4 linked regions of the Saccharomyces cerevisiae S288C genome follow. The gene in region 2 interacts genetically with the main gene of each other region. Each region holds a gene or a part of one and is shown on either strand. Other genes may lie near its edges. The genes, in order: USV1, DAL80, MEP1 and INA1.

Region 1 (8,078 bases), on a different chromosome or scaffold from region 2:
ATTTCCCGCTATCTTCTTCTCAGTTTGCTTCTGCTTTTGCAGAGGTACTTGGGTTATATAGTTGCTGGCAATGTTCCCTTCATTACCTTGTTTCGGTATTCTCTGTTCTTCATCACTCTTGCTATTCTGATGAATTGAATCATCAGAAGGCTTTTCTAACTTCGCATTGGCATCACTACCATCATTCATAGGAGGTGATCCGTTGGATAGTAAATTTCTATGTTGTTTATCATAGTCAAAGTCCATTTCTGAATCAAAATTAATTTCTCCACTTGCACCCATTTCGTCATCCGTATCGGTTTCTTCATCATCATTAGATGACTTGCGTGATTTAGGTTTTTGTGAGTGCGAGCCATGACCAGTACTCTCCTTGTAATTGTCAATCGGAGCAGCTTGGCCCGTTTCCGTTTGATTTATATCAGATTCTAAATTTTCGGCAAAAGGTCTGCTGCCATTAGCCGCCTCACTTAATTTTTGTAATTTAACCTTTTCATTTTCATCGTGATTCACCAGATCGTCTAACGATAAAGCTCTTTTTGTTTGAGGAGGGTTGTCAGTGTAACTCATAGTGGGAGGATAGAAATGCTACCAACAATTCAAGGTTTTTTAAAAAAAGAAGTGCTATTCCAGATTCAATTTATAAGGGATATTTTGGAAATATCAGTATAGTATTCCCAGCAGATCTTTCAGTGTCGAATACGCTTTTAATTATCACTCTTATTTGTGTGAACCTATATTATAGATTCATTAGAGGACTTTTCCTTTATTACCATAACTTACGACGAAACTAACTAAAATGTAGGTCTATATATCATTTGTAACGGCACGTTGGGTAATCATGACTGGTACATGTTATATGTTATCTACGCAGGTCCTGTTTCTGGCATTATGTATGGCTTGACTTTAGGAGTTCCAGTAAAACAAGGTTCAAGATTTATTATATCACCATACTTGTAGCCTCCAGGATTATTATGAAACAGAAAAATGGCATGTATTTTTGAAAGAATATGGTTATATGAGTATTTAGTGCTTAGTACATACGTCTTGCGTCTGTTTGCAGATAAAACCCTTCTCCTTTTATCTACATATACTAATTGAATAGTGAACTACATGAATAGAAGAAACCGATAATTAAAAATAAGTAGGAAATGAAACGGCTTGACATAATATAACATAACGTAACATAACATGGACACAAGATTTGTTCAAATGAGGAATATGCAAAAAAGAAATCAAAACAACGTGTTTGTCCATATCGCGATCATTCTTGAACACTTTCCAAAGGATTAAAACTTTGAGATGTATAAGGATTGAACTTCGGCCTAGAGTTGAATATAGAAGAAGCAGAATTTGGAGGTGAAGAAGACATAGAACCAGGATTAGAACTGGATTGCGTGTTCTGATGATACAATGACATTTGTTCAGCGGTCAGCCTATCCATTTTCTCGCATGCTTGTTGTTCTTCGAGAGAAAGTAAAGATCTTGGACAGAAAAATAAGTCATCTTTGAAAGATTTGCAGATGTTGTTCTTGTATATTATGGAGGAGTGGTCTATATCTGGGACAACATAATGCTGAGACGATCTGCTAAAGAGTAAAGGAGGGATAGTACTAGTGTTGGCATTCTTGTTAAGGTTTGAGTTTTCGCTGGTACCGGCCCCTACTAAAAACAAAGGCGGGCTTATTGGTTGTTGCTGTTGCGGCTGCTGTAACGATGACGCAGTGCGATTTTGTTGCTGCTGTTGCTGCTGCTGTTGCTGCTGCTGAAGACGATCATATTTGAAATTCTGGAAACTGAGCGCATCTGGAATAATACCAAAGGGGTTGCTGCTTGCGAAGTTCATAGGTTCTTGGATATTTGGAGGGGTGTTGTAGGGCATCATTTCATGTAATATAAAAAAGTGGTTATATGTGATAGTTTATCTGCTAAAATCGGAAAAAGCGTCATCTTGTCAGTGAAATGAGATAAAAAGCTTCTTTCTTTTCTTTTTCTTATTATTGCAATTAACGGGGGTCCGGGTGAGCGTAAGGGCGAGATAACCATGGCGGTATAGGTGTATATGATCAAGTTTTGAAGTCAAGATGCAGGATTGTTCGTTCCGTATTCACAATCCACCGTTAGTGTTACATCGTAGTTTTTGATGCTACTGTGGGCTGTGTAAAGCAGACGCGGGAGTTTAAAATTAAGTTTTGCGGTTATTTCTCGTTGATCAACGCAAGAGGTCAGAAAGCCCTTTATGCAAGGGATTTTTTCTTGCAATTGCATCTTATCATTTTTGTAGCACTGATTATACATAGCTTGACTCATTTGAAAAATTTTATAAACTGCATTTAGTATGGAACAAAACATAAAAATAAAAAAAGATGCGCACCATAATTTGTTTGCGCATATTAAGAATTATATTAGTTGTAAGATATTTATACTCTACGGAATATTTGAAACTTAGATCAGATTGCCTCGATCAAGTCAATATGTAATCAACACTAAGCCTTTTCTTATTGGTGTTGACCGAAATATCAGACTCTGATAAAGTTTCCGACCTCTTTTTGTTATTATTATCATTGCGATCATCAGTATTCTTGAAATTTTCTCCCCCTTTGCCGCCATTCTTCGAGGAAGACATATTATTGTTTTTATTTCCATTTGGTGGTTGGCTAAATGCCTGCTGATACTGTGGTAAAATAATTGGTTTTGCTTCAGCAACTGTCGTTGACGGAGAAAACGGCGGGGAGAATGAATCAAGATGGTTATTGATATTACTAGTATTGACATTGATATTGCTTGGTCTAATATTGTATTTGTTCATAGTTGTCCGTGCTTGAAAGTCGGCAGAATCTTTATATTTGAAGGAAGTACTTGGCATGGACCTCGGAGGAAAGGACGATATGATTACCTCAGAGGCCGGATGGCTCGTTGAGGAGGGGCTCACATTCAAAGGATACTGCACATCTACTGATGGTAAATAATTGATGGTGTTATTATTACTGGGAAGAGGATACTGGTAGTAACTATCAGTGATTGGATGGGAAGGAAAATAATAGGGAGCCTGTTGATGCTGTTGTTGTTGGTGTTGTTGCTGTCGTTGGGTATTATAAATGGACCTTGGAGAGATGGGTGGGATGCTTCTCGTGCTAGTAATGAACTCCGGCGAAGAATGTATTATTTGGGGCGCTTTTTCGTTTTCTGCCATCATCGGCATGTTCCCGCTATTAATATTAGTTTTCCTGTAAGGATCACTATATGATGTAGATGATGAAGCAGAAGACGAAGAAGATGCAGAAGAAGAGGAGGATAAAGATGAAGAGGAAGGCTTACGCTGGTGCGAGCTGGTAGAATGGTGGTTTTTATGTGCATGGACCGATTCCCGATGCTGTTTCAAATTATCAACTCTACTGAAGAATTTCAAACATGCAGGACACTGGAACGGCTTTTCACCAGTGTGCTTTCTTATATGACGTGCAAGATGTTCCGCTCTAGTGAAGGACATCGTACAACCGTCATATCCGGTGCATTTGAACGTTTTCCTTCGAGCACTTTTGGACCTCTTCGGAGTTGATGCCGCTACACTATTGGTGGCAAAGTTACCATTGCTGCTCGTAAGAACGCCTGCAGTATTACGATTCGTGGTATTTTCCATTTCGTGTTTTTTTCTTATCTTATCACAGTATTATTTATGTGTTAGTAAAAAAAGCTAAGCCAGTAAGTCGCTCCAGATTTTTTCTTTACATACATGGTTAATGAAGCTGTTGCAAAATACTGCAGCCAAGAACTCCTGTCTCTTTCAAAACAAGACGAAACTTTATCTGCCGGGATGAATAAGAATTAATCAAAATTATAGGCAATAAGAGTGGATTGAGATTGTTATATACGGAAGACTGTTGAACGGTTAAGGGGGAAGCCGTGAAGGAGCAAACAAATCTTGAAAAAGAAAACATTTTCTAAAAAAAAATAGAGGGGATAAATAAGGCCCTTAGGGGGACTCAACGGCGGAGAATTCGAAAGCCAAAGGATGCTTCCCACCGCTAAGCCAGGGCGAACGGCAGCGGCGATCGAGGATGCTGGTTCTTTAAGGGCACTCGTCCACCTTCGCGATTTTTCTCTTCCCTGAGTATTTGGCAGAGGCGATCAAGGGGTGGCTCACACAACCAGTCGCAGGAGCGTCGCGCATCGGGTATTAGACCCTATTCTGTACACCACAGCCTTCCAGCCCCTTGCCCCACGCGATTGGTGTAAACAATAGATGGCAGTAATCGTTGAGACAACATAACTACCGGCCGTCCCTGACCCTTTCCCCTCCTCACGGTAGAGACAACAACCACGGGAGGAATAAAAACCGGTGCTGGGCCAGCCGATATCGTAAAAGCCTAATTACCCCAGAGCTGCTACGCGGACTTCTATTCTTCCACGCGTCAATATGCCCCCGCGCGAATTTGTGTGGGCCGACCAAATAGAAGAATTGAACGGTGTGTACGCTCAGGGCCATATGATTATAGACGTACACAATGATTAGGCCAGATCGAAATCAGAGGCTAAAGTAAGGAAACGATAGAAAAATAACAAAGTAATTACTATTATGTCTGATAAATAGAAGCGACACGTTACATATTAAAAGAGGGACTACGTAGTGCTCTCTCTATTTCTTAGTAGAAACGGCGACCGCGACAGCTTGGAGGTCATCGTGAGAAATAGATACCTTCACATCGGTAACACCAGCTTCTTCGGCAGCCTTTTTGGCGTTACCGTGCAGTTCAACGGCTGGAGCGTTTTTGTTAACGCGTACGATTTCGATGTCTTTCAATGCAGCACCACCGCCTAAGGACTTGACGCCTAAGGACTTGAAAACAGCCTCTTTGGCGGACCATGTCCCAGCGAAAGAGCTTTGCACACTAGGCTGCGCGCTGCAGTACTCTATTTCTTGCGGGGTGAAATTGCGCTCGATAAAAGTATCATTTTCAACGTTGATGCTAGTGATTAATTCAACATCTACACCGACGCCACCGTTAGAGACTTTCTCCTTGGTCATGTTTTCAATCATCTTGGCAGTTTCAATGGTGTTAGCATTGATGTAACTGTCCTTGCTTTGGATGTTTTTAGAGTTGAAAGTCAAGGAGCCTGATTTCTTATCCTTAGATACACGGGCTAATGGGTCCAAGTAAACATCCTCTTCCAATTCATCAGTGTATGGAGCATGCTCTTTACTTACGAACAACTTGTTGTAGATCATACCATTATGGAAGAATTTGTAGGCACTTTTCTCTCTGGCACTAACCTTGGCGACATACTCGTTGTATCTGTCTTCAGTGATAGCACCGTATAAGTAGTCTGGATGAACCACAATAGCTTGACCACCCTTTTGACCAAAACCGAAAGAAGTGATGGACACGGCTCTGACACCGTCGGTCTTTAAAGTCTTGGATGGGTACAAGACGTATTCAAATTGCTCCAAGATCTTATCCACGTTATCAGCGTTACGGTTACCTGGAATAATACCACTGTTTAGAATTTGCAAAGCACCATTCATCATCCATGCACCAGCAGCACCCTTTGGATGACCAGTCAAGAACTTTTGGAAAACACCAATGACGGGATTACCTTCAGATCTACCCAAATGCTTCATCATTTCATTAATTGTGGCAGATTCGTTCTTGTCATTAGCCTTTGTGGATGTACCGTGGAATGAAGCGACACCCAAGTCATCAATAGTTAAACCGTAAGTAGCCAGTGCTCCTCTCAATGGAGCAATACGTGGGTCCCTCTTGTAGAAGTCGTTACCCCATTGTTGTTGTGCAGCTCTCAATTGACTTTCAGCTTCGTTGTGGATTTCTCTGGTACGTTCAAGTAAGAACTCGTTTTGGTCTTCGCTTGGAATTTCTTCGGCCTCCAACTTCAAAGCTTCCAATTCGTTTTCTACCCAATCTTTAATCTGAGCTTCACGAGTAACCAATTGGCGCTTTCTGTACTTCATGTTCAAGTTTGGTGAAGCATACTTAACACTGGAGTGGTGTTCACGAGCAGTGGTTAAAATACCCTTACCTGGAGCTGGCACAGATCTACCAATCTTATCGGTGGCGGTAGCAGCCATGGCAACAATACCGTAAATTGGCACACCCATCTTCAAAGCTAAATCAGCTTGCATGATGATTTGAATACCAGCACCTTGAGCTTCCATAAAACCGTTACGGGTAGTGGTGGCAGGTCTGGACATTTCCGCTGGGGTACGACCATGTTCAAATTCTTCCAAAGTGTTGGAAGTGGCCTTCATGTTACCGAACTCAAAGGAGCCTTCTTCTTGGAAATCATCGTAACCACCGACAATACAGATTCTAGCCTTACCAGACAAGATGGTTTCTACACCAATGTCAACAGATTCCACGGATGTGGCACAGGCACCAACAGGTGTCTTGATTGGACCAGATGAGGAAATCAACAACATATTAACCCAAGCGGACATGGTGTTGATAAATGATTCTTGTAAAATATCATTTTGGACAGGCTCATCCTTGAAACGGTCCTTAAACATACCACGTAAGGCAGAAACACCACCCATACCAGAACCAGAACAGTTACCAACCTCAGAAACATGTACGTATTTGTACATTTCGTATGGGTCGGTGATACCAGATGCAATAAATGCTTCCACAACAGAGACCAAAACGAATAATGTGATTGGGTCAACCTGAGAAATGATATCATCAGAGATACCATAAGTCTTAGCATTCCAACCAGTTGGAATTTGACCTGCAACCAAACGGTCAAATCTCAAAGCCTTTGGAATGTATAAAGTGGCACCCTTTAGTAACTTAACAGAGTACTCTCCTGTTTCTGGGATTTCGAAGATATCCACTTTGTCACCATGTTGGTGTTTAAATTGTTCGGCAGTTTCCTTCGAAGCCTCAAATGGTTCCAAGTCTTCTTCGACAATGACTTCTTGAATCATTTCCTTCTTTTCTGGGTTGTAACCATTGAATAACTCTGGTTCGATCAATCTGATACCACTGTGTTCTAGGATTGATGTTTCATACTTGGCCTTAACGTCCTTGTCATCAACTGGTTCTTTTGTTTTGGAATCAACCCAACCAGTGTATGGACGACCCTTCAAATTACCGTTATGGTATGAAATGAAGCCCATAATCCAGGCCATTTCAACGCAACCTTCCAACGAAAATTCACCAAAAGCTTCCATTTCCCATCTTGTTCTGGCCGAACCCCATGGGCCGACTTCAGCAAAACCGGTAACTACAATAACTCTTTCCAAATCCAACAAACCTTCAAGCTCAGCGGGAGCAATTTGTTTAACCTGTTTGTATGGTTTCAATTCTGGGAAGTCCAGTTGAATGTTAGCTCTTGGTTGAATTTCGACTTGAGCATATGCAGCATCAGCGCTATTGCCATTGACAACCTTATGCTCCAAAGCAGTTTCGATGGAAACTGCCTTTCTAACTTCAGAAGTTTCAACCAACTCTTTACGCAATTTAGCAGTGAATTCCTTCAATTCAGGAACAAATTGCAAACCACCATTCAAGTCAGCCATAACAGGTGATTTTTGGCACAATTCTACGACTTCTGGAGTCAATAGACCCAATAAGTTGAAAGCCATTTCCTTTTGAGAGAAAGTACGAACACCCATCTTTTCAATGCCTTCAGCAATGATGTTATTAGCGCTCATTAAACCAGTACCTCTAGTCCAACCAATAATAGCACCGCAAACGGTTAATTGATTGGCCCAGGATTCAGAGTGCCATCTGTTGAACAAAGTTTCCAAAGACAACTTGGATTCTGAATACATACCATCACCACCGAAAGTACCATGGTTTGGAGACATTGGTAGAATGACTTGAGCTGGTCTTGTTTCAATACCTCTTGCAGATTTTTGCTTCTTGACACAACCCATCATTCTTAAGATATTGGTCAACATGATTCTATGAGCAAATTCAGACTTAGAATCAATATGTTCTAATTCAATACCTTGTTCTGGAATGGCCGCGAATGGAATAATAGCATCTAGATCCCAACCTAAACCACCATTCTTTTCAGTGTCGTAGATAAATTCAATCAAAGCTTCAACGTCTTGCTTAGAA
Region 2 (5,963 bases):
CTCATCGTGACGGCGGTTTGTACCCTTGATGCGACCGAATCCACCCGTGATGCCAACTTCAACAGTTGTAATCTTTCATTTTTCTTTCTTATAGCATTGGATGCATATATACGAGATATATCTTCATTTTCATTAAGAGCACGTTTGAGCTTATTAGTTTCCTGTTTTTCTTCCTTTGAGGCTTTATTGGCTTGCTTTTGTAATTGTTTTGATGTAAACTTTAGTTGGAAAAGAGTGTTTTCCAAACCTGCTGCAGAATTACGTGACATTTCTCAGTGCGATGTCTGACTTCCTATACTTTCAAAGTAGCTCACATCTCATCAAACTGCTTTCACATTGATTCGTTTTCATTCTTATCATTTCTTTAGGGGCAATTTTCCAGCACCAGATAAATGGCAGTGTGTTACCCGTTCGCGTAAAAATAAGTGTCACTAAATCATATTAAATTTTATATACTATATCCTGTTATATTTATACTGTCATGAACGCTACATCCTTTCTTAATGTTGTGGGTGAGATTGTACTGAAGCTCTGGAGTGTAGTTCCACTTCCAGTTGCTTGCATTTTTCGTTCAGTTGGAATATGTGCTTTTTGTATAGGTCTGTCACCAACTCCAATTCGCTTATCTTGGTCTTCAATTTGATTACCTCCTCCTCATTATGTAGCTTCCAAGTTAGTTCTATTTCTGGTACAGCGGAATCTGAAAAAGGTGAGGGTTCTAATAATGTTGACAAATTAGGCAGCCTTGTCAGCTCTATATTTGACGTGTATATATCTGAACCGTTGATCTGATAGAGGTAGTTTTTCCCACTAGGTTCGCAGGGGTCCAAAGAAAATTTTCCCCGCTGCGTGGAGCACTCCTTTGTGTTGGGAACGGTTTCCTTTGGTTTTAACAGTGGCTTAATGGACCCGCTCACCATAAACTTTTCCAGAATAGAAACCTTCGGATTATTCGTAGGTAATGAACCACCACCAGTTGTAAGCAGTCTCTTCTTTCTCTTGAATATTTTATTTGGGTCGTTAGAATGGGTATTGGCATTAGTGTTCACATTGTTGTTATTCAGCTTTTTCCTATTTCTTGACTTAATGGTGTCCGTCTTCAAGCTGATAGGCCTTGGTTCCCCGTGCAACTTCAGGAAGAGGCCACATGCATTACAGAGAACAGTACCGTGTTCATCTCTTCTCCATAGGGGCGTTTTGACAGTGAAACAATTCTGGCACGTGGGGTGGTCCTCTCCGTCACAATCATCCACTCCAGCAGCAGCTGAAAGTGTAGGCGAGGGCAGCTTCAACGAATCACTAAGCACCATTCTCTTATATATAATATGATATAATATAATGTAATATAGTATGACGGCAGATAAACAATATCCCGCTCAGTAATACAAAATTACTACTGTCTCAGAAAGAATAACCAAGAGAAAATCGAAAAAACAGTAACTGTATCCAAATTCAAGCTGACGCTGGATGTATATATATACTAAGCAACACTTGCTGATTACAGTCCAGGGATGCCGCCACAATGCAGCGAGATAAGCCCAGGATCGGTTTCTATCAAGCATTCTTTGCTGTTTGATTAGCACTAGTGATAAGTGATAAGGTGGAAACTCGTTATCAACGACAAACGGGTGAAGATTGCTACAGCCCTTTGGGTTGAACAAAAGACACAAACATAACGATGAATACGCCATGGGGAAAGATTTAGTGGGAAATTAGCAGGACATTATAGGCACGACCGGTCACTGATAATTCACACGACGCATTGAGAGGCACGTACGCAAGAAGAAAAGGTAGGATAGATAAACAAGGGTGATGTCTAACGTGTCAACAGCGTCTGGAACTCACTTCGCTCCACCTCAGGCAGATAGATCGGTGACTGAAGAAGTAGATAGAGTAAATTCGAGACCAGATGAGTTAGAAAACCAAGAAGTATTGCGGCAATTACCTGAGAATGGCAATCTGACTAGCAGTTTACAAAGAGAAAAACGAAGAACTCCCAACGGCAAGGAGGCGGAGAGGAAGCATGCATTGCCCAAATCCTTTGTAGATAGAAACCTGAGTGATGTGTCACCGAACCACTCATTAGACCATATTATGCACTCTAATGAACATGATCCTCGTCGAGGTTCTGATGAGGAAAATATGCACCGGCTCTACAACAATCTCCATAGCAGTAACAATAATGTTCATTCTAAGCGGAATTCTAAAAGAGAGGAAGAAAGAGCCCCTCAAAGGCGTTCTTCTTCTGTAGCTTACACCCAACAGCAGTTCAATGGCTGGAAGAAAGAGTTTGGCCACGCTTTTAAGAAAATCTCTGCTATTGGTAGACTGAAATCCAGCGTAAATTCTCCTACACCGGCTGGAAGCGGCCATCGTCATAACCAGCACCAGCATCAACAAGTAAACGAAGAAGATTTGTACACACAAAGACTAGCCTCTGATTTATTAGATTCGTTATTGGCAGGATGCCCGGCCTCATTGTTCGCAAGCACGCAATTTCTGAGAGACGAACATGGGAAGAGAAGGGCTCCTCTGCTATTAGCTAAACTAGATGTAAGAGTGTCTCCCTTGAAAAATGACAACAACATTTTGGATATTACCAATAGCAACCATAACCATCGTGGTAACAACAACAACAATACTGGCGAGAATTCTGATAGGAGACCCTCTATTCCAAGGAGCTCCAGCATTATAAGCATTTCTTCGAATGTGGCGGAATTTATGTATAGCAGGAACGAAAACTCTTTATTTAGAATACACTTGGAATATGGGATTGATGAAGACAGGCTCAAATGGTCTATTATAAGAAGTTATAAAGATATCAAATCACTACATCACAAATTGAAAATCGTCGCGTTCCAACAACTCACTATAAGCAAGCTTTATAGTGATAACAACAGATATCATTCGTTACAACTTCCGCATTTCCCCCATTATAAAGAAATGGTTAAAGAAAGAAATGTAATGGAGAAAAAAGCAGAAAATAAACCATCCTCTGCAGCCTCAGCTCCTCATACATCGGAAAATAACAATAACGATAATGGCAGCAACATTACATCGTTAGAAACTTTATCATCTTCTGAAATATCTGAGTTTAATATAGATAACGTCAAAATGAAACATTTACAAGACTTAATTGACGAACCTGACGATTTCTCCCAACCGATACATTTGAGGCTAGAAAGGTATTTGAGACTACTGAACATTGCATTATGTTTGAGACCTCATGCAAATAGATTGTTTGAATTTTACGAATTATCTCCCTTAGGCAATTTATTAAGTCGTGAAAGTGGGTTCCAGGGCAAACAGGGGTATTTAGTAATTAGATCTACTGCCAAGGCCCAAGGTTGGAGAGTTTCTCATTTTGGTAAACATGCGTTTAAAGACATGATCGACAGACATACTACCAAATGGTTCCTGGTAAGAAATTCTTACCTAACTTACGTGTCGGATCTTTCTTCGACAACTCCTTTAGACGTATTCTTAATAGATTGGAAATTTAAGGTTAGATTTTCTGGGAACAAGAATAACATACTTGATAACGAAAACGAGATCAACTGGATCATTCATGATCCCAATTTAGAAATAAATGACGAACTAGAAGAGTTCGGTATTGAAAATGATGCCAATAATATCCTAGACAAGAATGGAAAATCGAAAACACACCAAAAGAAGTCCAATATATCTTCAAAACTATTATTATTGACCCTAGAAAACAGTGAAAGGAAACTGAAAATTATTTGCAAATCAGAGAGTTCGTTAAAGCAATGGATGAGTTCAATTATCAAAATGTCTACCTCAACACCTTGGTCGAAACCAAATAGATTTGGTAGTTTCGCACCTGTAAGAACAAATTCGTTTTGCAAATTTTTGGTAGATGGGCGTGATTATTTTTGGTCGTTAAGCGAGGCCCTCTTAATGGCAAAGGATGTCATATATATCCATGATTGGTGGCTATCCCCTGAATTATACTTGCGACGTCCGGTGAAAGGCAACCAGGGATTTAGAATTGATCGTATGCTGAAAAGTTGTGCAGAAAAAGGTATCAAAATTTTTATTGTGATTTATAGGAATGTGGGGAATATTGTTGGGACAGATAGTCTTTGGACCAAGCATTCTATGCTAAATTTACATCCAAATATACATATCATAAGGTCTCCCAATCAATGGCTACAAAATACATATTTTTGGGCACACCACGAGAAGTTTGTCGTTATTGATGAAACATTTGCATTTATTGGTGGTACAGATTTATGTTATGGTAGATATGATACTTTTGAACACGTTCTACGAGATGATGCAGAATCTTTATTAGATCAAAATTTTCCTGGTAAGGATTATTCAAATGCCAGAATTGCTGATTTTCATGATTTAGATAAACCATTCGAATCAATGTATGATAGAAAAGTCATTCCGAGGATGCCATGGCATGATGTGCAAATGATGACTTTGGGTGAGCCAGCAAGAGACTTAGCCCGACATTTTGTTCAAAGATGGAATTACTTATTGAGAGCTAAGAGACCTAGTAGGTTAACTCCATTACTAACCCCGCCTTCAGATTTAACTGCTGAAGAATTGAAGAGTTTGCCGATGTTCGAAATTCTACGCGAAAAATCGACTTGTGAAACTCAAATACTTAGAAGTGCTGGGAACTGGTCTCTTGGGCTAAAGGAAACGGAATGCTCAATTCAAAATGCTTACCTGAAGTTAATTGAACAAAGTGAACACTTTATTTATATTGAGAATCAATTCTTCATTACATCAACTGTCTGGAACGGGACTTGCGTTTTGAATAAAATTGGTGATGCTCTCGTTGATAGGATAGTCAAAGCTAATCAGGAGAAAAAACCTTGGAAAGCCTTTATTCTTATCCCACTAATGCCAGGATTCGATTCTCCAGTAGATACTGCAGAAGCCTCAAGTCTTCGTTTAATTATGCAATTCCAATATCAATCAATTTCAAGAGGTGAACATTCTACATTTAGTAAACTGAAGAAACTAAATATTGACCCAGCTCAATATATTCAGTTCTTTTCACTAAGAAAATGGTCGACTTTTGCGCCTAATGAAAGATTAATCACCGAGCAGCTCTACGTTCATGCTAAAATTCTGATTGCTGATGACAGAAGATGTATTATAGGGTCTGCTAATATTAACGAAAGATCACAACTGGGTAATAGAGATAGTGAGGTGGCAATTCTTATTAGAGACACCGACTTGATAAAGACCAAAATGAATGGTGACGATTACTACGCGGGAAAATTTCCTTGGGAATTAAGGCAGCGATTAATGAGGGAACATTTAGGTTGTGATGTAGATCTTGTTGAGTTTGTTGAAAAGAAATTTGAAAGGTTTGAAAAGTTTGCTGCAAAGAATTATGAAAAACTTCATACCCTAAGTAAGGAGGGAGATAGTGGTAACAATTGGAGCGATCGAGAAATGATCGATTCCGCTATGATTGAGCTAGGTTATCGTGAAATATTTGGTTGTAAATTTAGCCCTCAATGGAAGAGTGGTCATGGAAACAGTGTTGATGATGGAAGCACTCAGTGTGGCATAAATGAAAAAGAAGTGGGAAGAGAAGATGAAAACGTTTATGAAAAATTCTTCAATTCTGTGGACTACGGTAAATCATCACGTAAGAGAACGCCTCTGCCCAAACATAATTTTGCATCTTTAGGGCTAACATTCAACCACAGGGCAGGAATTGAAAATGTCGGTATACGAGACCACAAAGTCTTAAGTACTGATCCAAGATTAAGAAAGAATGATGAACATAAAAAAGAGGTTGATGGCTACGGTCCCGATTGTTGGAAAAAGGAATCCAACAAAAAATTCAAGGCCGATGCAACTGAACAGCTAAAGGAGTGGGCATTGAACTCATTGGCCTCGAAAGTTCTTGACGATAAAGAAATGATAAAATCAGAAATTCCAGAAGGATTTTCAAATTATTTGCCCAATGA
Region 3 (8,797 bases), on a different chromosome or scaffold from region 2:
AAGATAGCCAAACGTGCCCAAAGTTCGTTAGTCTTACCTAAACCTGCAGGATCTTCGCTCCGCTGTAGTAAAGTTTGGAATTGCGACCACATTTTCTCTTCTGCAATACCCAATGGCAGTCCTCTATTTTTCAGGGTTGCCAATTGTGTGCCCAATTTTAAGATTCTTTTTTCAATTTCAACATTCCTTGATTGTGCCTTCAAAATTCTGGACGCAGTGTCCAATTCATGCTTTTGTTGCAATTGTGTGGATTTCTCTAAAATATGGTTCAAAATTATTCTAGCTTGGGCTACATTTTCAGTCTGTACTTGATTACGTTGATTCAAACCCTCAAATCCATATATTTGAATGGGAATTGTCTGAGGGGAAGGTTTCTTTTCCATTGCCTGATCCCACTCTTCTTGAAGTACATGTCCTGGTTTTGTATATAAAATGGCTTCCGTTTCGTTCACTTTATTGTACACGAAAGCCCTGAGTTTTGTTTTCGTTGTGTTTGGATCCCACGATTCTTTACATTTCAACACCTGTTCTTGAATTTGCTGCGGATAATTAGACAGCTGCTGTTGTTGAGCAATTGCTTGCGTTTGTTGCAACGGTACTTGAATTTGCTGCTGCTGCTGCTGCTGTAAATTAGATCCAGTTGAAGGCTTAGACCAAGCAAATGATGGTTGTGTGGATACCGTGTTTCCAAGTCCGGGCGCAGTGTTTGTTTGAGGCTGCTGGGATTGGCCAAAAAGGCCACCTCCCCCAAGGGTATTGTTATTCTGGGTGCCGCTTCCAAACAGGCCACCATTAGTTGTTGATCCTTGTGGCTTACTGCCAAATAGGCCTCCCGTAGTCGCTGTAGTATTCTGAGGCTTTGCACCAAAAAGTCCGCCTGCATTCATGTTAGATGTGTTTTGAGTGCTATTGCCGCCCATCAGTGAGCCAGTGGATCCTACTTTATTACCAAATAAACCCCCACTTGTGGTACTATTGTTTTGTGCACTGTTGCCGAAAAGACCTCCCGTTGTGGTAGTTGGCTTGTTTCCAAATAACCCACCTCCAATGGTGGATTGTTGAGGTTGTGCTGTTTGTTGCCCAAATAAACCTGTTCCAGTAGCTGTAGTTCCTGAAGCGGTAGTGCTTGAACTTCCTAGGCTGCCAAGAGCAGGCTTATTACCGAAAAGGCCTCCACCTGTACTACTTTGTTGGTTACTTCCAAAAGTATTTGTGGCCTGATTTGCACCAAACCCTCCGGTAGTAGCCGTCCCAGAATTTGGCTGGCTGCCCCCAAAACCAAATCCTGAAGCCGAAGGTTGAGTATTTGTATTGTTATTGTTTTGTCCAAATGAAAAACCGGTCGAACCAGCTGGTTTATTTCCGAACCCGTTATTACTACCGCTGAAACCAAACATGTGATCAATTGGTCAACAAGGTATGTCTTTTGTTACTAACGAGCGTTTCTGGAATAGTTTGAACGGGATAATCCTCGATTTAGTCTTTCAGTCCCTTTGGCAAAAAGTTGTTTACATCGACTTGGAGAGTTGGACTTTTGCTTTTACTCATTTCAAGAAACAAAATTTTTGAAAATAATCCATTTCGCGTACGTTCAAAATGATATAATTACACATTGGCAACAATTATTTAGATTATATCACGTAGCTATTGTACTATTTTCCTATGAGAGAACTGCTGTAGCCATGTGGGATGATCATGCGGGCAAAACTAAAATACTTATATCAGTCCACAATTGAAGTATGGAAAGTTTTCTCCCAACTATGCCGTTTTTATAATGGAGACTAATGTCAAAGATAGGTTTTGCAGGCTTGATGGGTTTTCAAGACACTTTTCGGTCAAGATTTTCAGTGAGATTTGAAATTCTTGCAGAAGGTCTTGATAGTCATTGCGCAGATGATGAATATATGGTGAATTGGAATCAGCACAAGACTCCAATATTCGACGAGATGCCGTAATCAACTTATACAACTGCTCAATCAGGCCAGAGCAAATTTCTTCTTCTAATGGTTCTATACCGCACATTTCATGGAGAGATTTACTCAATCTCTTTCCAAGTGAGAGCGCTTCTGTCAATTGTGAATGGTTACGCAGAGAGCCGTAAATCTCATCTAACTTCTTTAGGTATTCCAGGACATCCTTTATAATTTCTTGTGTATTGCTGATGTCATCCTTTATCAAATGATCTAATTGAGTCATAAATTTTTGAAGATCACTTTGTGTTTTCTCTAAATTTATTAGAGTTTCATTTTCTTCATCTGTATAGGTATTGGAAAAAGTCAGATAGTCGTCGTAGTTACTTCTTATTTGTTCTAATAATGTTTGTACCATTTTTTGTGAAAGTCCAGACAAATCTCTAATAAGGGAATCGAGAGGAAGGTAATGGAAATTTTTCTGCACTAGGAATCTGTCGACATCAAAGTTATCAACATCGGTCCCATTAGTCTCGGATTCACGATACTTCTCTATTTCTGTTGCGAATAACTCTTTCGATATTTCTGCGGTTACCGGTAAATCTAAGTCTAGTTCATCATCATTCAAAAAGTCCATTTCGCCCTGAGAGAAATTGCGACTATGACTGTTGACCATTCCCTTTTCATATTATTTATTATTCTATATTTTTTCTAAGCTTCATTTTCTTGTCCTGTTGAAAATTCCATGAAATCGAGGTAAAGGCCCGAGCAATAATAATTTTAATTTAAATAAGGCACCCTCATAAAAACGGTCTTACATCCCATTATACCTAAATACGTATTTTTTGGATCTAGAGTGTTAACTATTTCACGATTACCGGTTGGTGTACTCAAATAATTAAAATGTTGAGGACTAAGAGAGCCTATATTTTCTCGAGAACATAGTCAAAAAGACTCCATGGCCAAGTTGGTTAAGGCGTGCGACTGTTAATCGCAAGATCGTGAGTTCAACCCTCACTGGGGTCGTTTTTTGCTTGAAATGAGCAACATTGGAGGAAGATTTGTGAAATCCTCCAGTTTTCTTTTTTTCCTCTAGGTTTTAACGAATGTGATAAAAGATAACTAAATAGGAGGGTCATTAAAATGCTAGGTAACGTATAAACAATGCACATCTATACATATATGAAGGTTTGAATAAGGAATAAATAACACGTGCTCATAAAAAATCAAGAGAGCCAAGCTGGAAACAAAATCAATAAACCGTTTACCTATTGGCAGGATCTTCTTGATGAATTGGTAGGATCTTTTCGGATTGAATCATTTCTCCATTCCCATCCGAGGAACTATTAGTACCGCTACTGCTACGTTCAGCGGCCAAATGAGCGTTGTTCACCCGGTGATTTACATCAGAGCGTTGTGAATCTTCGTCTACACCCCATAGATAGTAATCTCTTCTCACTTCCACATAATCGTACGCAAATTCGCCAATTTGATCTTCGTCCATACCCGCCTCCTCTGCCTCTTCTGATATTCTTAGCCTCATACCGGGTATGTAGCCGAGCACAAAGCAGATTATTGCAGTTACAGCAGCAGTGTACCCAATGGATGCGGCAATGTAAGCGATCTGCTTATACATTTGCTTGTAATTGTGAGTTACCCAGCCGCCCTCGTGCTCTGTAGTGCCATCCATACCAATGACCCAGTCTGCTCCAAAAAGGGCATTGAAAATTAGTCCTATTACGCCTGCAACCCCGTGCTCAGCTAGAATGTCCATGGCATCATCTACTTTAGCGTAGTATTTCAACTTCGTCGCAAAGTTACACACTACCCCCGCCACAATGCCTTGAATAAGTGAACCGTAAAGGGTTATACAGCCTGAGCTTGGCGTTGCAGCCACCAGCCCAGAAATGATACCGGAGCACAGACCAACTGTCGACCATTTCTTCTCCGATCTGTAATCCAGAAGACACCACGTCATCCCACCAGTAATGGCACTGAGACATGTATTCATGAATGCATAAACTGACCTCAAATTTGGGGATAATGAGGATGCAGAATTAAATAGCAGCCAGCCAAACCACAGTATGGATGTGCCTAGAGTGACCAATGAAACATTATGAGGCCTGAAATTTATCAGTAACTTTTCATTTCTTTTGCCCAAAAACCAAGAGTAAACAAACCCGGAAACAGCGCTTAATATTTCAATGTTGCCGCCGCCTGCCCAATCGAGGACTCCCCATTGGTATGCCCAACCACCTGGTGACCAAATCCAATACGTCACTGGACAATATCCAATGGTAGCTAGAATAAAGAGAAAAACCATGTGCGGTAGCAGCCTGCCTCTTTCGGCAGTGGCGCCAGCGATAATACTTAAGTTGACGCACGAAAACATCATTTGGAAGGTTGCATACGCGAGCTCAGGGTAGGCATCTTCATCGAATTTTTTTCCGTACACGTTTCTAAAGCCAAACGAATCTAGATTCCCAATGAATTTATTATTCGGAGCGGACTTTGAAAAAGCTAGAGAGTAACCCCAGAAATACCATTGCAGTATACCGACCAAAGTCGCCATTAATACAACCCAGATTAGTGCTAGTGCAGACTTCCTTCTTGCCAATCCGGAGTACAAGAATCCCAATCCGGGCACCATAAAAAATACTAGGGCGGCACCTAATATCATGAAGGCCACAGTGGGGCCATCGTAGGTTTCAGTCGTTAAAGGCCCTGTAGTTCGACTCTCCATAGTTTCTACAGTATAAGAATCCGTACTGCAGTTATGTTTACTAAAATAATTCTCTGATCATAAGCCTAAACAAGTTACAAGAGCGCCTATATAAATAAACTACCTTTTAAGTATCTTATTCTGGAACTGCATTATCGACTGGTAAGCAGAAGGTGCTATAGAAGCCTACACCACTTTTCCGATTTTTTTTTTTTTTTTTTTTCAGGAAAAACATCTTCCATCAATACTTTGTCATTTCTTTCTTCTTCTCTTCTGTGCTTACATAGCCATAAGATGTCACACAAGGGTGTCTGTAGCAATTGTGAATCTTATCGTTATCGCAATCTCTGAGATGTCTCATCCAATAAGAGGGGCGCGTGTCCGCAGAGATAAGCAACCAGGGCCTTTTCTTTTGCACTCAGCCTGACAAAGGGAGGGGAGGCGCAAAACAAAGTTCGTGGCAAAGGACAACCGTAGAAGAGCATCGCCATGTTGATTTTGAAGAATGTCAAGACACAAGTACAAGTTATGGATGTGCATCGCAAAGGGAAAAAGGGGAGTGGGGGAAAGAAATACGTTTGTCCCTAAGTGCTCTTATGCTCCCTTTTGTGCTTCAGAGGTTCTTGATCAATTATTAAGAGGGGATAACTCTATCGTATATAACTTTTATCTTAAAAATGGTTCAGGTAGTGTTTATATAGGCTCAGTCTTTCTTATCTGAAAAAAAACAGTACGGGATTTTTTGTGCGCTCGAATAGTGCCGAACTCAATTACGGGCTGTGGTAACACTTGAGATCTTGTCTTCCCTTACAAATAGCTCTAGGGGTGTTGCATGTAGCCGCAGTAACATCTTGAAGAAGTGTACACTTTTGAGGGGACGCCATTGTGTTACGTTCTATGTATTGAATAGTATAGTTTTCAATTTTCCTGCGCTGACGTAAACCGGCTGTAAGAAAAAACGTATAATCGAGAACTGGTTATTCAAAGGTTGAACTTTAAAGTGAAAAGTAGCTCTAACAAAATAAATCATGCGTGAGAATGCAATGTCTACAAAGAAACTTCCCTATAAATTATCTGGCAGCAGCAAAATAACAACTTCCATACCTAATGATTTAATCATACTGCGAAATAATTGCATAAATTCACTGAACAGTTCCTCGTCCAAAGCTGACAGCATTACATGTATAGATACGTGGCTAAAATACACAGAGGGTTTGTTAACCCACAGGTACGAAGCTAATAATGACGCCGCTCTCATTGAAGAGGAGATAGCGATTGCGTTAATCAATGTTGCCGTATTTTATCAAGACATCGGTATTGAAACATTGTACAGAGCTTATGAATCTTCACAAGCGTCAAATAACTTATGGACAACAAGCGGGACCTATCTAAAGAGAGGTCTAGGCTTAATCTGCTTTCTTGGAAAGAATTTTCAAATAAACACAGCTAATGATTGCCAAAAGATGCAGGTTCTCAACGTCCTTAATCAGCTATCATTAGAGTTTCAATTGCTGCAACAACTAGGGATTGTCGTTTTAGCACTGTCTAAACTAAGATCAAAAATCAGCAAGGATGCTGTTGCGGACCTTGAGCCTCAAGAATTGGAAGAGCTAGGCAAGTCCAGTGTCTTTTACGCTAAGCTTTGTATTGGATCTTATAGCACTGCTTCGCAATGCCAAGGAGGCCGTATAGTGGACGCATTATTTATGAATTATTTACAGAGTTTGACCTATCTCTTCCTATCAATCAACCAATACAACAATGATGAGTGCGGAATTGCCATTGGGATGCTCCAAGAATCGATCAAAAAACTGTTAAATATAGTACCCAATTCGCAACTAAAAGAGTTGGACATTTTATCCTCAACCGATATTACAAAGAAGAGGGATCTTATAAAGATGTCGTTTAAAAGGAAAATACATGGGTCTACTTTAAAAAACCAACGGATATTTGAGAAGAAGGTGCCATTTTCATCCAAAGCGTACATGATGCCGTTATTGAAATCTTCATTAGACGATTTTGTTATCCCACTAACGATACTGTTAAGGTACAGATACCAGACAACCAATGAGAATTATTCCTTCAAAACGGTTGAAACCGACGTTTCTAAATTGAAGGAGCTTTTCCCCAGGGGAAAATCGTCAGATATTGAAGGCACTGTATGGAGTTTCCAAGATGGACATCTTACATTTGCAGACTCAAATAATGCAACCCACAATTGCGGTAATTATTTTTGAATTGAATCAAACGCCGTTCGAACGTAGAGGTCAATAGTCTATATGAATAATATTTTTAAGGTCTACTCTACTATGAATTTTGCATAAAAATATACACATGTTAGAATAAGGAAACCACTATCTACTAATCACGGCTAACCACTGCAAACAATGGCATTATTTACTAATATAATTATGTGTGTTGGAGTGAGAATCAATTATAGTCTACCGATCTGGTGCTCTTGTCAGCAGTATATTATTTTTGAGAAGAACTTTCCTTTTTTTTTTATGTATACGTAATGATCAGAATTTTTTAATAAAGATGTACTTCAAAAGCTTTTTTTAATATTCATAGTAGAATTTAGTGAATAATTTGATAATTGTTGGGCTTCCATTGTTGGTAAAGGCTATTATATTAGTTTTGGAATAAAAATTCAACTATCGTCTATCAACTAGTAGTCATACTACCAGTATATTATCATATACGGTGTTAGATGGTGACATAGGTTATGAGAAGCTGTCATCGAAGTTAGAGGAAGCTGAAGTGCAAGGATTGATAATGTAATAGGATAATGAAACATATAAAACCGAATGAGAAATAATCGTAATTGTATTACATAGGGACACCAATTCCATTTTGAGGATTCCTATATCCTCGAGGAGAACTTTTAGTATATTTTCTGTACTAATATTATAGCTTTTACCGATAATTGAATCCTAACAGTAATCTCAAAATTCACCAATTTCCCACAACTATCGCAAAATTCACCCATATTCCAATCTTGTGCGCTTCATGGCGATTATTTCATTATGTTTGGTTAATAAAATAAACATAATCTTGCATTAGAGATAGTTAAGTTGTTGTATCTCAAAATGAGATACGTCAGTATGACAATACGTCATCCTAAACGTTCATAAAACACATATGAAACAACCTTATAACAAAACGAACAACATGAGACAAAACCCGTCCTTCCCTAGCTGAACTACCCAAAAGTATAAATGCCTGAACAATTAGTTTAGATCCGAGATTCCGCGCTTCCACCACTTAGTATGATTCATATTTTATATAATATATAAGATAAGTAACATTCCGTGAATTAATCTGATAAACTGTTTTGACAACTGGTTACTTCCCTAAGACTGTTTATATTAGGATTGTCAAGACACTCCGGTATTACTCGAGCCCGTAATTCAACACAAGTGTAATTTCAATAGCTCGCGTGGCGTAATGGCAACGCGTCTGACTTCTAATCAGAAGATTATGGGTTCGACCCCCATCGTGAGTGTTGTTTTTTTAAATAATTTCCTGGCTGAAGGGAATAATGTTGTTCAACAACGAAGATATTTCTTATTTTTCTAAGAGGTATTATGATATGATACATGACAATAAACATTATGAAATTTTTTGTGAAAGATGTATAAATTTATAAAAAAAAAAAAAAAGTTACTTCCTCCACTTCGTTAGCTCATATTAGTTTCTTTTATTCCCAGACTTTCTGCTTTTGATAATAATCTAGCAAAATAGAAAAGGCATGACTATAAACCAAAACCACCATTAGAATAGGCCATTGGTTTTATATCTGGGTGCTCAACAGCTTCGAATGTCTCAATTATTAGATTTTGGTCGTCATTCCTGCCAGCCTGTAAAATACCATGGCCTGGTACAACATGAATAACACCCCCAAGATTACCTTGGCTATCACAATAGTTTGGAGCACTGAAAACTGTCATTAATTTACCCTTCTGCTCGAATTGCACACCACCCATTCTTAACTCGTGAGATCTAAAAATCTTGCGCAATTTGTTGTTTCTTAGAAATCTATCTGTAATGTCGGGTCCAAAAGCATGTCCTAAACCACGCTGAGAAGGACCCATCCCGTTGGCTTCTTGTGGGTCCGCCCATAGAAGTTCCATAAAGGCGCCATCTCTAGGTGGTTGGGCAAATC
Region 4 (9,375 bases), on a different chromosome or scaffold from region 2:
GGATAGAGTTAATTATGGACTTGAAAACATCAAAACTACACGTTTGGGTGGTACGGAGGAACCATATATTCAACGAAATAGTGATACAAATATCAAATACAGGACTACAAATAGTACGCCCTCAATAGATGACCGTTCGTCCAACAGTGAATCCACTACTCCCATCATCTCCATAGAAACAAAGGCTGTATGTGATAATACACCCTCCATTGATACGGATCCGCCAGAATATCGATCTTCTGACCATGCGACTCCTAATATAATGCCTGACAAATCCTCAAAAAATGTTACGGCTGATTCTATTCTTGACGACCTCCCACTTCCTGACTTAACCCATAAATCTCCTACGGACACTTCTGATGTTTCAAAAGATATTCCACACATACACTCTCGTCAGACTAATTCCAGTTTGGGTGGTATGGATGATTCTAATGTTCTGACTACTACCAAAAGTAAGAAAAGATCATTAGAAGATAATGAAACTGAAATTGAGGTATCCCGAGACACATGGAATAATAAGAATATGAGAAGTCTGGAACCACCAAGATCGAAGAAACGCATAAATTTAATTGCAGCAATAAAAGGAGTGAAATCGATCAAACCAGTTCGAACGACCTTAAGATATGATGAAGCAATTACATATAATAAAGACAACAAAGAAAAAGACAGATATGTTGAAGCTTATCATAAAGAAATTAGCCAACTATTGAAAATGAACACTTGGGATACAAACAAATATTATGATAGAAATGACATAGATCCTAAAAAAGTAATAAACTCAATGTTTATATTTAACAAGAAACGTGATGGTACACACAAAGCTAGATTTGTTGCAAGAGGCGACATTCAACACCCCGATACATATGATTCTGATATGCAATCCAATACCGTACATCACTATGCACTGATGACGTCACTGTCAATCGCATTAGACAACGACTATTATATCACACAGCTGGACATATCCTCTGCTTACTTATATGCTGATATCAAAGAAGAATTATACATAAGACCTCCACCACATTTAGGTTTGAATGATAAATTACTACGTTTGAGAAAATCACTCTATGGTTTGAAACAAAGTGGTGCAAACTGGTATGAAACCATTAAATCATATTTAATAAATTGTTGCGACATGCAAGAAGTTCGCGGATGGTCATGCGTATTTAAGAATAGTCAAGTAACAATTTGCTTATTCGTTGATGATATGATATTATTCAGCAAAGACTTAAATGCAAATAAGAAAATCATAACAACACTCAAGAAACAATACGATACAAAGATAATAAATCTGGGTGAAAGAGATAACGAAATTCAGTACGACATACTTGGATTAGAGATCAAATATCAAAGAAGCAAGTACATGAAATTAGGTATGGAAAAATCCTTGACAGAAAAATTACCCAAACTAAACGTACCTTTGAACCCAAAAGGAAAGAAACTTAGAGCTCCAGGTCAACCAGGTCATTATATAGACCAGGATGAACTAGAAATAGATGAAGATGAATACAAAGAGAAGGTACATGAAATGCAAAAGTTGATTGGTCTAGCTTCATATGTTGGATATAAATTTAGATTTGACTTACTATACTACATCAACACACTTGCTCAACATATACTATTCCCCTCTAGACAAGTTTTAGACATGACATATGAGTTAATACAATTCATGTGGGACACTAGAGATAAACAATTAATATGGCACAAAAACAAACCTACCAAGCCAGATAATAAACTAGTCGCAATAAGCGATGCTTCATATGGTAACCAACCATATTACAAGTCACAAATTGGTAACATTTTCCTACTCAACGGAAAAGTGATTGGAGGAAAGTCGACAAAGGCTTCGTTAACATGCACTTCAACTACAGAAGCAGAAATACACGCAGTCAGTGAAGCTATACCGCTATTGAATAACCTCAGTCACCTTGTGCAAGAACTTAACAAGAAACCAATTATTAAAGGCTTACTTACTGATAGTAGATCAACGATCAGTATAATTAAGTCTACAAATGAAGAGAAATTTAGAAACAGATTTTTTGGCACAAAGGCAATGAGACTTAGAGATGAAGTATCAGGTAATAATTTATACGTATACTACATCGAGACCAAGAAGAACATTGCTGATGTGATGACAAAACCTCTTCCGATAAAAACATTTAAACTATTAACAAACAAATGGATTCATTAGATCTATTACATTATGGGTGGTATGTTGGAATAAAAATCAACTATCATCTACTAACTAGTATTTACGTTACTAGTATATTATCATATACGGTGTTAGAAGATGACGCAAATGATGAGAAATAGTCATCTAAATTAGTGGAAGCTGAAACGCAAGGATTGATAATGTAATAGGATCAATGAATATTAACATATAAAATGATGATAATAATATTTATAGAATTGTGTAGAATTGCAGATTCCCTTTTATGGATTCCTAAATCCTCGAGGAGAACTTCTAGTATATCTACATACCTAATATTATTGCCTTATTAAAAATGGAATCCCAACAATTACATCAAAATCCACATTCTCTTCACTTCTCCGATAGACTTGTAATTTATCTTATTTCATTTCCTAACACTTTGATCGAAGAAGAGGGATAACAACAGACGAAAACACATTTAAGGGCTATACAAAGATGAATATGGGAGGCAGTAGCAGCACTGCTGCCAAAAAAGCGACTTGTAAAATATCGATGTTATGGAATTGGTATACCATTGACACCTGCTTCATTGCCAGATCTTGGAGAAATGACACCAAAGGAAAATTTGCTGGTTCTTGCATCGGCTGTTTTGCGCTTGTGGTGGTAGCTCAATGGCTTACTCGTTTTTCAAGGCAATTTGACGTAGAGCTATTAAAAAGACAGAAAATAAAGCATTTAGCTAGTTACTCGCCAGAGGAGTACGTTGTCAAATGTGGAGAAGAGGATGCTAAATCTGATATAGAAGAACTACAAGGCTTTTACAACGAACCAAGCTGGAAAACAACTTTAATTTCCTTACAAAAAAGTTTCATTTATAGTTTTTACGTTTGGGGTCCAAGGAGATTGAACGAGCCAGAAGACGACCTGTTAAAGAAGGTCCTATCATGCTGTACATTAATAACGCCAGTGGATTTGTACCCAACTTTTTTGGATCACATGATAAGAGTTACTATTTTCGTATTACAGTGGGGGTTATCTTATATCATCATGCTGCTGTTCATGTACTATAACGGCTATATCATTATTAGTTGTTTAATAGGTGCTATCGTTGGTCGTTTCATATTTTGCTATGAACCTCTAGGCTCATTGGGTGCTAATGGATCAGCCCAGGGTACAGTGAGTTATGATAAAGAGAGTGATGATCGCAAATGCTGCTTGTAGAAAGACAAAAATGAATAGAGGAAAGCCGAGAGGTTTGTTTCAAAAATTGACGCCTTCCTCATTTTTTTCATAATTAGCTGGTAAAAGTTACTATTTGTAACGACTGCTAAATAACAAATAATTATTCGTGTAAAAATAAATAGCTAATACCACCAGGTGTTCATATTCCATGACTGCATATTTGGGAAACGAGACGGTTTGAACATCCTTAGTTGATGTAAAACTATAATAAAAGCTCTATGGGAAGTAAACTATCTGCGGGTCGGGTAAGGAATGATGCTTGCTCGACGTGTAGCGATGAAAAAAGTGAAAACTTATTTGAACTCTAGAAAACTGCTAAGATCCTGAACTGATACCGAAGTTAATGACCTTGACCGGTCTTCTGCTGTATGGATTTTAAAGCAAGTGGGACAAAGTTTAAGAAAACTGGCAAGAAGGTAGTGCCTGCTAAAGCGTTTGAAGAAATTGTTCAGACAAATAGAGATGTTCTGAAAAAATCAGCATTCCTCTCAGATTTACTTGAAAATTTACAACCGCACCTCAATAACATTAAGAAAATACGATGTGTTGCAATTGGAAATTTCAAGGAGGATTTTCCTGCGACGTACCAATTCGCTCTTCTCCTAGAGATTACTGATTATATAAAAAGTGAGGATGAAAGGGATGTCGTTGTTTCCCTGTATGATCCAATATTTACTAAAGAAGAGATACAGTACTTGAAAAGTTTAGGAAGCAAATGGCTGATAGAGGAAGAATTTTCAGAGAACGATGCAATTGATTATGAATCGGTATTATATTTCCTTCCCCATGCTCCTTTGGATTTAACTGAGAACATACTATCGTCACAGCGACCACACTTATGGCTGGCAAATAATATGATATCACACACCGATAGATACACCAAAGCAAAACTTTGTGAAAACTATCCTAATTTAAGCAAGCTAGTTCATTACTTGCAGACTAACGCTCCGCCAGAAGTTAAAAAAGCACATGATGTAGATGGTTTTGCAACATTCATTCCAAAGAGAAAAAGAAAAAACAGAAACAACTCCTCTAAACTCAAGGTCACACCATCTGATATAGACTATGATTCAATAGCACCGAAGTTTAAGTCCTGCCAAATACTCACCGATTTTGATGAAGGAAAGTATTTGAAGGAAAAACCCTGGATCAATTCCTTCTCTGACTTGACGTTACATGCTATAGAGTACTAACATATCATTCACTACATAGTACTTTATAACTAAACTGTAACCTTTCAGGGCATCGTAACCTGACGCTTTACCATCAATAACGACACGAGACCGCTTTATCTATGATACTGGAACAATCAACATGATTGTTATAAATGTACTCGACAGGATCATGAAAGGATACCAACTTAGTTGCCGGTTCATTGAAATGGAAAGCTCAAGAACGTATACTGAAAGAGAGCGACGTCTACTTTGCCCACAAAAATCTACTCTCTGAATTGAATAGTATTTAGAGATTGCATAATTCAAGCCCTCCTCGAGGAAAGGATATAAATGAAAATACCGTTTTTCCTGCTGATGGTTATCGTCCCTGTCAAGGATACTTCTCGGACTCGAACAACGTTACAGCTCAACTTAAAGAAGGCTAAATACGACAAGGGCGCTTGCCCTAAGAGGAACTGTTTCTAAGTTCTAACGAGTGCCTGCGAAGATCGGTTTTTTTTAACTTCGCGGGCGAATTGATAAATAAAGTTCTTCTTGCAATTTTTTAAGATCAAGGTTGGGGCAAAAAGGACGCAAACGAATGGTTGGGTTAAGAAAGTGGAAAGACCCAAACCTGAAGTTCATTTAGTTCTTGGCGGAATGAATCATTCGAACGGCGCAATACGCTCGTCAAAGAAGGAGGTATGATTTATGACGGTTTGTGGGTAGCCCTCTAAACACGTGGAGAGTAACCTTTTCTGTTTAGCGATCCTAGAACTGCGAACAATGGTAGCTATTCGCTTACTCAACAATATTGTTCTTGATTAATGCATTCAAATATGTAACTTCGTCCCTCATATAAGCGTCTGACGCGTCGTGAAAATTTACCCTCTCAAGAAAATACAAGAGATTACGTAAAATTAGAAACCAAAAGATATGAGTGGAACAGACACATATCACCCATATTTCCTTTTCACGTAAGAAAACTTAAGTACTAGTGCGGTGCCTGCGTTAGTGCTTGTCTTTAGGTCAAACAGGTCATCTTGACCAACTTAGCTTATAATAAGAATGATAATCGATTACTCTAAATAGCATTCTTTCATTTGCGGCATCTTATAACCCACACACCGCATTTAGGACCCGTTTTTTTTCTTTTTTTTTTTGTTGAAAAAATTCAACAGTTCCTATTTTTTTCTTTTCATTCTTTTTTTTTGCCTTGCCTTCGTTTCGAGAATTCTTTTTCTTTTTCTTTAGGTAAGGGACCTTCTCAGCTGAGGCACGGTGGGGTTTGTAATAGTGTCCATTCTGGCACAAATGCATAAGTGATGCTAAAATAGTGATACGTCTAAACAAAACGGTTTGGATGCCTAGCAAATAGTAAAAAGACTTGAATATATCACTTTTATCACTATGTAAAAAAACTGAGTTATATTATTAAGTTTTTTTTGAAATGTTCCCGTTTGACGTGTATTTAGTACAGTATGTTCCGTGGATACTGTTTAGGTGCATTTAAGCGCTCCAGAACTCTCCTTTAAATTCCTGCAGCACTCCGTCAGTTGCTTCGTAAATCCGCCTGGATACCGCCTTGAAGATTAAAGTTCCCCTCAGTACTCGTTTAGCTTGAATCCACCGCATTATGGCCTGGTAAATTCCCTAGTTGCTTTTTTCTATACGGCGTCGTCCCTGGAAAAAAAAAACTTGCCTACAGATCTTAGTAGACAAATTTAACTACGTCAATCTATTGTTCTGCTTAAAAAAAAAGTTGAAATTGTTAAATCCTCAACAAACTTATCGCTTTTCAAGCTGCTGCAATCATAGATCTTACACTTCTACACAGAATTTTTTTTTCCTGTAAAAAGAACGACAAAATATATAAACCTTTGACAATCTAGCTGCATTTACTCACATTAAGCCTTGAGATTTTCATTTACTTCATAATAGCTTGTAGATGCGATGCTGATACAGTAAAATAAAAATTCAGTAATACAGTCAAATTATTGCGATGAATTTTAAAATACTCCTCCCGATTTGTGCTTTATTGACACTTACAACATTTCTGTTGACCATTATTGCAACTGCGGGTTCTACCTCAAATTATAAGCCAATAACGAACATTTATATCGGTGATGCTGATATATCAAAAATCAACGTTACAAAAGTTATGCCACAAGTTGGCCCAATTTTGACTGTGTTAGGTTCTGCTCTAACCGCTCCAAATACAACGGTGGATACCATCTTCGGCGCTCTTAAGGCAATCGCTTCTACCGAAGCCTTGTCTCCTTTACTGCACTTGTTGTCTAATGCTGCTAACACTTCAGCCACATTATCATCTTTGACACAGTTGGCTCCAATGGCTTTGCTAGGAACCAATACCGCTACTACCACGACCTTCTCCGCTCTTGATGAGTTATTGACTACCTCTAAAAACACAACCGAACTCTTGGATGGGTTTAGCACATTGATGTCATCTATGTCAACCAACACTTCTTCTACTTCGGCTTCCTTAGAAAATACTGTTCTAACCCTATTAGTGGATTCGACCAATCCTATAGGCACTACTGAGTCTTTGATCACTTTAAATAATATGACCACAGAAGAAAAGACAAAATTGTCGCCTGTATTCGAGTTATTCGCAAGTTCCAAGAACATTACTGCCACATGCGATGCGTTAGAAACCATAATGAACTCTACCATTCCAACTTCAACGGTCTCCTCATTGTTTTCTAGTCTAAAAACCAGTCTTGCGGAAGGTGGCAATGCTACTGAAACTATTATGCAATTAGGCTCCCTCGTTCCTTCGAGTTTAAAACCAGCTGTCCAAGCTGTTGTTACTCTGTTTGATGAAACTACATCTCAAAATGTAACATTATCCGTATTGAGCACTATGATTGCCGAAAACATTACCCAATCATCTTCCGCTAAAGCTGCCATGGGTGCTTTGACTGACTTGTTGAATTACACTACAAACCAAACAGAGCTGCTAACATCTGTCGAAAGTTTGGCCCTCTCTAAAGAAGCCGCTTCCTCTACTAACCAATTGGTGGCACTTGATGAAATCCTTTCTGCAAGTGCTAACGCATCCACAGTTGTTTCCATAATCCCTACTTTGGAATCCCAATTGGCCAATAACACCGTATTACTTAAGTACGTTCCATACTTGTTCAGCCTATTAGCTGCGTCAAGCGACCCCGTGTCAAGTTTCTCTTCTCTGGTTAATATCACCAAATGGGCAGAAACTAATGCCGCTACATTTATGCCCATGTTGAAAATTTTAAACTCTGCTGTAAACATGACAACTATCACACCAGAACAACTCAAGGAAATGACTCCTTCTATCCTTGAATATCTACACATCCCTGTCATATACCGTTTGTCCATTTTCACAATGTGTCGTGCTCACTTAAACAGAACAATGTACTCGTGTAGCAAGTCACACGCTGTTCAAAACATGGATTTCCGGTCGATTGTTTACAACAACATTGAAGGCTCGGACTTTAAACCTTATATGGATGCCCTGAACATCGGTAAGGACGATTTGCATTTAGATGGTGAATTACAAGACAGACAACACATGTATGTCCCAGCAGTGAAAGCAGCTTTAGCTATGAACTTAATGTGCATAATCACATCCTTCTTCTTAATGGTATTCTTGTTGCTACTAAGTAGACGTTCCGTGGTGAGTCAAAAATTATGGTTGGCATTGGGCTTTATTTCCTGTTGGATATGTATTTTCAGCGGGTTGGGAAGCACAATCTTTAGCGTCATCCTTAATATGATGAAATCCGGCTCCAAGAAGGACAATTACGATGTCATTATTTCTGGCTCTTCTCCATTTTATGGCCTAATGTGGTCTGGATTTGTATTTGCCGTCCTTGTATTTCTCTGCATTGCATACTGCTGGTGGAGCAGCAGAAAGGGAGCTGCCATCGTGGAAGCTGAGAAAGCTGTTCAAGAAAGTGACTCTACTACCTCAAGAATCATTGAAGAACACGAAAGCCCCATTGATGCTGAAAAAAACTTTGCAAGGTAAAATAATAAAAAGAAGATCATGCAACATCACCCCGTAAATTTTTTCAATTCTCCATCCTTTTAATTTTCTTCATTATAATTTTCTGAATTGTATATAGACAATATATTTTAATCATATTTAATATGAAACGGAACACAAAAATTAATTAATAACCTTGCCTTTTTCAAATTCAAATCAATGGTTTTTCCTCAATTGGAGCGTTCGCATAGATGACGGTGGGCCTCGATCTCACGCTACACCATAGAATGAAATTCAGTAATGCTCCAACGACAGCCCCCCACATCAAACCCTGGTAGTTCCTACCAATGCTCATTGAAATACCGTAATCACTATAGTTATGCTTTAGGATGTATTTGATGTATGAGTAAGTGCCCAAACACGAACCTATACTGACTAATAGGGCGGCAAAGGCGAAAAATGAAAAAAAGGCACCAAACCACGTTAGCGGCCTTATGTGGATGATCCAGCGCAATACGTTGAACACTAGATTCACAAAGGTCAAGACAATACCAATAAGAATGGTAATGAACATACACTTGACCAAATTGTTGTAGTATGTCATTTTACTTTTTAGTTTTTCGGGCAAAACAACACTGGCCACGGAATCCATAAGCTCCAGAGCCTCATTGTTGTTGATATTGTCATACACTAATGACGATAGGTTAAAATTCTGGATACCGTGAGGCGAAGAACATGATTGGATGTTATGCGAGGAGTCCACTGTACAGTACGACCAAAGCCCTATATTTATATATGAGGGCAGGCCCAACGAAGATAGCGTAGCAGAACTCAAAGAA

Evidence for each region.
Region 1: mutations in DAL80 (region 2) and USV1 together harm fitness less than expected from each alone (positive genetic interaction), as found in Saccharomyces cerevisiae (one large-scale study listed by BioGRID).
Region 3: of DAL80 (region 2) and MEP1, extra expression of one rescues a mutant of the other (dosage rescue), as found in Saccharomyces cerevisiae (one study listed by BioGRID).
Region 4: mutations in DAL80 (region 2) and INA1 together harm fitness more than expected from each alone (negative genetic interaction), as found in Saccharomyces cerevisiae (one large-scale study listed by BioGRID).

What each region holds. Positions count from the first base shown.
Region 1 is NC_001148.4:110,871-118,948, reverse strand, and holds USV1 (Usv1p), read right to left. Parts: upstream 3,638-8,078; coding exon 2,462-3,637; downstream 1-2,461. Other genes in the region: CET1 (polynucleotide 5'-phosphatase), read right to left, coding at 1-567; YPL229W (uncharacterized protein), read right to left, coding at 1,262-1,882; trifunctional fatty acid synthase subunit FAS2, read right to left, coding at 4,634-8,078. UniProt on the Saccharomyces cerevisiae protein: Transcription factor that participates in the transcriptional activation of glucose-repressed genes during exponential growth in non-fermentable carbon conditions. Also involved in salt-stress response.
Region 2 is NC_001143.9:502,245-508,207, reverse strand, and holds DAL80 (Dal80p), read right to left. Parts: upstream 1,311-5,963; coding exon 501-1,310; downstream 1-500. Other genes in the region: DID2 (Did2p), read right to left, coding at 1-269; YKR032W (uncharacterized protein), read right to left, coding at 1,377-1,691; SPO14 (phospholipase D), read left to right, coding at 1,813-5,963. UniProt on the Saccharomyces cerevisiae protein: Negative regulator of multiple nitrogen catabolic genes including the allantoin pathway genes.
Region 3 is NC_001139.9:728,275-737,071, forward strand, and holds MEP1 (ammonium permease MEP1), read right to left. Parts: upstream 4,654-8,797; coding exon 3,175-4,653; downstream 1-3,174. Other genes in the region: FG-nucleoporin NUP57, read right to left, coding at 1-1,397; Golgi transport complex subunit COG2, read right to left, coding at 1,759-2,547; YGR121W-A (uncharacterized protein), read left to right, coding at 5,138-5,353; YGR122W (uncharacterized protein), read left to right, coding at 5,661-6,869; PPT1 (protein serine/threonine phosphatase), read right to left, coding at 8,388-8,797. UniProt on the Saccharomyces cerevisiae protein: Transporter for ammonium (both charged and uncharged NH3 and NH4) to use as a nitrogen source. Can also transport methylamine. The affinity of MEP1 is about twenty times lower than that of MEP2. MEP3 has the lowest affinity.
Region 4 is NC_001144.5:944,606-953,980, forward strand, and holds INA1 (Ina1p), read left to right. Parts: upstream 1-6,550; coding exon 6,551-8,578; downstream 8,579-9,375. Other genes in the region: high-affinity Cu transporter CTR3, read left to right, coding at 2,648-3,373; BER1 (Ber1p), read left to right, coding at 3,763-4,587; YLR412C-A (uncharacterized protein), read right to left, coding at 5,662-5,868; PUN1 (Pun1p), read right to left, coding at 8,748-9,375.